Sus scrofa: one gene and its partner. The protein of the gene in region 1 binds, or shares a complex with, the protein of each later gene. Links are inferred from orthologs where the notes say so. Each region holds a gene or a part of one and is shown in the gene's direction. Other genes may lie near its edges.

Region 1 (3,652 bases):
TATTTCTACTTCAAATTTTAGCACAATGGATCGGGATAAAGTGGGCATCCCCACAGATGGTGATTCACATGCAATCACTTATCCACCTGCAATTGTTGTTTATATAATTGATCCTTTTACATATGAAAATAAAGATGAGAGCACTAATTCTTCCAATGTGTGGACTTTGGGGTTACTTCGATGCTTTCTGGAAATGGTCCAGACTCTTCCTCCTCATATTAAGAGTACTGTTTCTGTACAGGTAAGAATGATAAATGTTAAGTTAAATTTATATAAAACATTTTAATGTTGACAGAAATTTCAAAGCTACTATTCTGTATCCATATTGATTTTGTAAAAGTTAGGTTCTATTGATTTTTACTTTAAGTGATACTATAATACAGAAATCTTAAAGAGTTTATAAAAGAACCTTGTGATCATACCGCAGTAATAATAGAGAACAAAAAGATTGCTTTGAGTACATTGTATGTTTCTCCGTGTTACTTTTTTAAACTAATTTTTAAATTCATAAGCTTAATTAGGAAAATTAAGAACAGACATGGAGTTCTCTTGTGACTCTGGGTAAGGATCTGGCATTGTCACTGCAGCAGCTTGTGTTGCTGCTGTGGCATAAGTTTGATCTCTGGCGAGGGAAATTCCACATGCCACAGGGGCATGGCCAAAATAAATAGAAAATTAAATTTAAAAAAAGGGACTCACAAGCTAGGGTACTAGATAAGATAGTTTGCAGGAAAAGTAGAGAGAAATTAGCCATATTGTTTGCAGAGAATTTGAATTTTTCTTATAGACCATAATAGTACTAGTCAATGGCAGTATTAAACAGTATAACTACTATGTAGAAATGTTTTAAAGATTTTTATATATTCCATTAGTAAAGTTGACTGTTTATTAAAAATCTATATCATAGGAGTTCCCATTGTGGTTCAGCAGTAACAAACCTGACTAGTATTCATGAGGACACAGGTTTAATCCCTGGCCCCTCTCAATGGGTTAAGGATTCAGTATTGCTGTGAGCTGTGGTATATGTTGCAGATATAGCTTAGATTTGGCATTGCTGTGGCTGTGGCATAGGCTGGCAGCTGCAGCTCTGATTCGACCCCTAACCTGGGAATGTCCATATGCCGCAGGTGTGACCCTAAAAAACAAACAATATCTATATAATAGATAAGAAAATATAATTCATTAGATTATCATCCTAAATTTAGTTTAAATTTCTTTTCTTTTTTCTTTTTTTTTGCCTTTTAGGGCTGCACCTGAGGCATATGGAAGCTCTTAGGATAGGGGTTGAATCGGAGCTACAGCTAGAGCTGCTGGCCTACACCACACACAGCCACAGCAATGCCAGATCCAAGCCATGTTGCAGCCTACACCACAGCTCACAGCAATGCCGGATCCCCGACCCACTGAGCAAAGCCAGAAATTGAACCCGCATCTTCATGGATACTAGTCAGATTTGTTTCTGCTGCACCACAACGGGAACTCCCTAGTTTAAATTTCATACTAAAAGTGTTAGAGTTTTAGACATATAGTTCTTTTAATTCTCTTGTTGAAAGCTTAACATTTGTAATATTTGTTTATAACTCTTCAGATTGTTCCTTGTCAGTACCTGTTGCAACCTGTGAAGCATGAAGATAGACAAATCTATACCCAGCATTTAAAATCCCTAGCTTTTTCGGCCTTTACTCAGTGTCGGAGACCACTTCCAACATCAACCAATGTGAAAACATTGACTGGTTTTGGTCCAGGTTTAGCCATGGAAACTGCTCTTAAAAGTCCTGATGTAAGTATGTTTTCCATGACCAAAGTTATTGAATGACTACATTTTATGTTTTTATGCCAAACTAAATGCAGGTCTCTGTTTAGCTCTCATTTTTCAGTTATCTTACACACACACACTCTCTCTCTGTGTTTGTGTTTGTGTGTGTGTGTGTATCTTCAATAAAATTTTTTTCTATGATTATATAGTGCCATAGTAACTTAATTTTTTATTTTACAGAGACCAGAGTGTATTCGACTTTATACACCTCCTTTTATTCTGGCTCCAGTGAAAGATAAACAGACAGAACTAGGAGAAACATTTGGAGAAGCTGGACAGAAATATAATGTACTTTTTGTGGGCTACTGTTTGTCACATGATCAAAGATGGATTCTTGCATCTTGCACAGATCTATATGGAGAACTTTTAGAAACTTGTATTATTAACATTGATGTCCCAAATAGGTACTTTTATTTCCTTATATGTATCATTTAAAATGTAAAAAAATTCATTTTTAAAGAATAGAAAATGGCTTATGGTGTTCTCTTGTGGCACAGTGGGTTTAAGGATCTGGCGTTGTCACTGTAGCGGCTTGGGTCACTGCTGTTGCACAGGTTCAGTCCCTGACCCAGGAACTTCCATATGCCACGGGTGCAATGAAAAAAAATTATAATAATAATTTGATTAATTTCTATTATGTAGACAAAAAAAGATTAAAGTCCCTAAATTCTATGCTATAAACCTTGAGGTAATGATTTTAGCCTAACAAATTTTGAAACATGAAACTATAAAGTCCTCTGCAAATTAAAATCTAGTAAAGTATTTTCAAATATTTGCTTTCTTATATACCATCAAAAATATAGTCCCTAATGAACAGAATGTCTTGCTTCACTAAAATGTTGGAGTATATTCTGAAAATAGTGGCCTTCTTTGTAGAATTCTTTTTTTTTTTTTTTTGGCCACACTCACGGCATGTGGAAGTTCCTTGGCCACGGATCTAACCTGAGCCATAGCAGTGACCTAAGGCACTGCAGTGACAACGCTAGGTCCATAACCCACTGCACTGTAAGAGAAGTCCATGTAGAATTCTTTTTTGTGTGTGTCTGTAGACATGTTTTTATTTGTCTTGTGTGATAACAGAGAAATTGTTATATCCTATGGGAAGTGCATGACTAATTTTTAAAAAACTGCCAAATTGTCTTCCAAATTGGCTGAACCACTTTGCATTCCTATCAGCAATGAATGACAGATGCTGTTAGCCAATATCTTTACCAGAACTTGGTGTAGAATTCTTCTTGATAGTAGTTAGATATGACCAGTTATTCATGAAGGCTGTAACTGATAGTTCACAACAGGTGAGCCTTATATTAAGTTGTCACTTGGTAGACACTTCTAACAACATATTTCAAGGCTAACAAACACTGCCTAAGGGAACTTGGAAAGTCCATGAAGTAACTTTTAATTTTCAGATTTGGTTCTAGTCTTTATTTTCTTCATTATATGATGTTCTGTTTTTTTAAGTTTAGAAGTTGGTTATATGCAAAAATATTTAATGATTATATTAGATTATAGTGGTGCTGAAGAAACAGTATAGAAACATTGATTTTATGTTACTGGTTATAAAGATTTATTGACTATCTTAGAAACCTTAAGGCAGTATTTCATACCTTATTTCCTTGATATAGTTTTGATTTTTTAAAAAATGGGATAGTTGTGCTAATTAAGTGAGCTCTGGAGAGAGTAATAAGCTTATCTGTGAAGGATGAGAAAGAATTGAAAAAGAATAATACCACCTTTCTAATACAAGACAAATTGCTGTTTTACTGAAAGTAGGAATGAGATGATGGTTAAGACATACAGCTCTCAGAGTTCCCGTTGTGGCGCAGTGGTTAACGA
Region 2 (3,752 bases), on another chromosome or scaffold:
TATGTCTAAAAGGTATGCTGTATTTCACTACGACATCGCTCCATGTCCTCTCATTTTAATCCATAACAAAACATACTCCACATTCCTTCATGGATTTTTCTTATTACTGCTATTTCTGATGCATAGGCTACTCCGCCATTGATTCTTTTAAATAGGGTAGTTTCCTACAACCACGTTTAATCCTGGGTCTTGTTACATCACATGCCAAGGATCAGGAGATTTACCATCCTGTGGCAACTGTACTGCTTATACTGGAAACATTATGACCACCATACTACAGCAGACCACCTGTTTGGGAGTCTTAGCTCCGCTACTTAACTAGCTGTGTAACTTTGTTACCCTTAACATTTTGTGCCTCCGTCTCCTCAACTGAAAAATGGGGATAAATAATCACGTCTGCTTCTTCGGGTTGAGGGTATCAACTGATGGGGTAAAGCAGGACGACGCGGCACGCATTCGATATGTTATGACAACTCTTTTGTGTCATTTCATTTCACACGTCTCTCACCCTTCCCGTCTATCATATTCTAATACTGGGCACCTTTCCTGGTGATGTTCTTTTCAAACCAGATCTTCTAACTTCAAAACTTTGCTACTCCCTGGCTGAGGGTAGCACTTGGGTAAGGTACTTAACGTCTCTCACTTTCCAGTGTCTTACATATAAATGAAAGTGGACACAGCCACCTTCCTTGCACAAGTCTGAATAACACAATGCAGATCAAGTTCCTTGCATGGTCCTCAACAACTAAGGGATACCTCATGTGCATTTTCTGGTTTAAAATATGGGATCCTCACAAAACACCCTAAGACAGGTGTTTAAGAAGCAGGAAACAGTCAAGCCTTGCCCGAAGTTGCAGAGATGGCTACAGGGCAGCACCAAACGAAGTGAACGACGTTTCACTCCGAATCAAAAAAGAATCTATATATGTATTTTCCCCACGAAACCGAAGCTGCCTTTCAAAATCATGGCGCTGGAACTAAATTAATTCATGCTGATTATGTCATTCTAATACGTGAAGATATGAAGCACCAGCAAAGTAAAATCAAATTGCAAAATCAAAATAAAGGCTTTGTTAATACCATTAGGAAGTCGGAGAACCCGAGGGCCCCAGAGTTGGCGACGTGAATGAAATCTGAGCAAACAGAACAGAGCGACGAGCTTCTCCTCCAGCCCCCCAAGGAAAGTGCGGACCGCGGGGTGAGGAGATGCAACTGCCGGGCCTTCGGGGCGACCCCCGCCGCCCCCAGACCCGGAGGAGGCCACGGCCGCACCCGGCCGCCGGCCCCTCCCCCGCGGATCTCGGGGACCAGCGCTGCGCCCGCCCGCCCCTCACCTCCGGCTCCGGGCGCTCCGAGGCCATCACACAGCCCTCCCGCGCCGGCCCGGGCCAGAGAAGCCCTTCTGCTCGTGACCCCTGACCCGGCTGCCTCTCGCCCGAAGGAACCGGAAACGAATGGGAGGATCGAATCCCAACTTTCTGATTGGCTGACTTGGAAACCGGAAAAGGAAGTGGTTGACGCAACCTCTGCTCCCGCGATGCAGGTGAGGACCGGGTTGGCGCTCGTGACCGCTACTCAGCGTCGGGGTACCGGGACGGAGAGTGGGCTGGAGAAAGTGAGGAGCTGGAGCTGAGAGGAGTGGGTAGAGTCATCGGCCGACGGCTAAAGGGACGCGGGATGGAGGCGAGGCCCACTGGAGAGGGAGCGGCACTGATGACAGATGGGGGTGGAGCCCGGCTGGGAGACCGAGACGGCCCCTGAGTTGGGAGGGGGAAGGCGGCACCGACTTGCTGGGGGTGGGAAAGGGTCGGTCGTTTGGGAAGGTTAAGATGCAGTCCAACGAAGACAGCTCAAGAAGGTGCCGCATTGGCTCAGGTCCCGGCCCGGGCTGTTGAATGGCCGCTGTTGGCTGCCGACACAGCAGAGGATCGATAACTGGAGAGAAGCCCGAGAGTGGAAGGAATTGTGGGGCCGCAGTGACAAAAGCCAAACTAATATAGTCTGAGGCCAGTGGCTGGAACCCGGAATCAAGGCTACTGTCTTGTATATTGGCGAGTTCGCAAGGCAGTTCTACCTCCTTCCTAGCCTGTGCCCTGTGGTAGTTAAGGATGAAATGAAGTAAAGATGAAGAACCAAGATGGACAGGAAATGCTTGGCAGACAACCCCTCACCAGCATTTAAAATAGTTTAGTACTTAGGGGCATGTGCATTTTTGTTTTTGTTTTTCATTTGTCAGTTTCTTGCACCTGGTAGTCTGTCAGTAAATTTTTATAGCTTGACTAAGCTTGTGAAAGGGGCACAGGAATTTTGGCACAGAGATAAAATGAGTGCAGGTTAATGGAGTTCCTGTCGTGGCTCAGTGGTTAACGAATCCAACTAGGAACCATGAGATTGCGAGTTCGATTCCTGGCCTCGCTCAGTGGGTTAAGGATCCGGCGTTGCCATGAGCTGTGGTGTAGGTTGCAGATGAGTCTCGGATCTGGCGTTGCTGTGGCTCTGGCGCAGGCCAGTGGCTACAGCTCCTATTAGACCCCTAGCCTGGGAACCTCCATATGCCACAGGAGCAGCCCTAGAAAAGGCAAAAAGACCAAAAAAAAAAAAAAAAAAAAAAAAGAGTGCCGGTTAATTCAGCAAAGAGCTTGAAACAGCAAATGCTGAGGACAGAGGAAAGGGGGAAATGGCCGTGGTGGTGGCAGTGGCAGGTGTTCAAAGGAACCTTCACATGTAGGTAGATTTTTCAGAAATTGTGTCATTGGCAGGAACAGCCAGGCTCCCAAGGCAGGTTTAGGACAGCAGAAGTCAGAGTACCTATGCTGCAGAGTGGCACAAGAGATAATGACCCCGAGGCATTAGGTCTGCTGTGTCTGCTCAGTGAGTGAGAGTATAGTGTATGTGATAGGAAACCAAGCACGGATTAGGGGTGATGAGAGAAAGGAACCAGCAGGTAGGAGGAATTAGGCCAGGCGAGTGGGTTGAAAGGTCTGAGGGTTGGTGCTGTCTATAACCCTGATACCAAAGATAGAAAACAGCCTGGCTCTCCCTGTGCCAGTGAGATCCTGTGTCACATGACTGGTGTTGCGCACTGTCATCCTGGCTTTTCAGCCCGCCTCTGTGGGCACCACCCTCACCCTCATCTGAGTAACATCCTATTCCTGTTGGTGCAGAGGGAGGAGAAGCAGCTTGAGGCATCATTAGATGCACTCCTGAGTCAAGTGGCTGATCTGAAGAACTCACTGGGGAGTTTCATTTACAAGTTGGAGAACGAGTATGACCGGCTGACCTGGTAAGCAATGCCAGGGCAAGCTGGGGAGGGCTCCATGGGTGGGGGGGGCCAGGTCACCAGGTGGATAGGACATTGCCAGTGATGTAAACATTTATCAGTTTGCAAACATCTTTTGATTTAAAAAGAGCTGAGTTTCCCAACGTGTAACACTGAAGTTGGCTTTGGGCCTCCCTGGTAAGGAAGCAGAGAAATGCCCAGTTTTCCAACTCAGGGTCTTTCTAGCTTTTGATTCTCACCCTCTGATGTCTCTGGGAGGAGGTCCTCCCACTTCAGTATTCATATGGGATCTCTTGCCTTGGACGTGGCTGAGTCTTTTAGGTCCAGTCTACTTTGAAAATGTAGATCCTATATTTAGGTCGGAAAGGAGGCTTTTAGCTAGTTTCTGAAGTTTGAGTGATAACAGTGGAGCTATGGTTCCTGTTTTGCCGCTGTTCTCACCCCAGTCAAATACAGCAGCCCCCCTTTATTG

What was found.
Region 2: MED13 (region 1) and MED8 share a complex: the UniProt entries of both Homo sapiens proteins name them as parts of the mediator complex. The link is inferred for Sus scrofa from reciprocal best matches to the Homo sapiens genes MED13 and MED8.

The regions. Positions count from the first base shown.
Region 1 is NC_010454.4:36,413,590-36,417,241, forward strand, and holds part of MED13 (mediator of RNA polymerase II transcription subunit 13), read left to right. Parts: intron 1-21; coding exon 22-241; intron 242-1,588; coding exon 1,589-1,780; intron 1,781-1,996; coding exon 1,997-2,220; intron 2,221-3,652. UniProt on the Homo sapiens protein: Component of the Mediator complex, a coactivator involved in the regulated transcription of nearly all RNA polymerase II-dependent genes.
Region 2 is NC_010448.4:167,859,857-167,863,608, forward strand, and holds the start of MED8 (mediator of RNA polymerase II transcription subunit 8), read left to right. Parts: upstream 1-1,506; 5' UTR 1,507-1,537; coding exon 1,538-1,615; exon of another isoform or gene 1,616-1,677; coding exon of another isoform or gene 1,678-1,683; intron 1,684-3,164; coding exon 3,165-3,283; intron 3,284-3,752. Other genes in the region: protein SZT2, read right to left, coding at 1,335-1,361. UniProt on the Homo sapiens protein: Component of the Mediator complex, a coactivator involved in the regulated transcription of nearly all RNA polymerase II-dependent genes.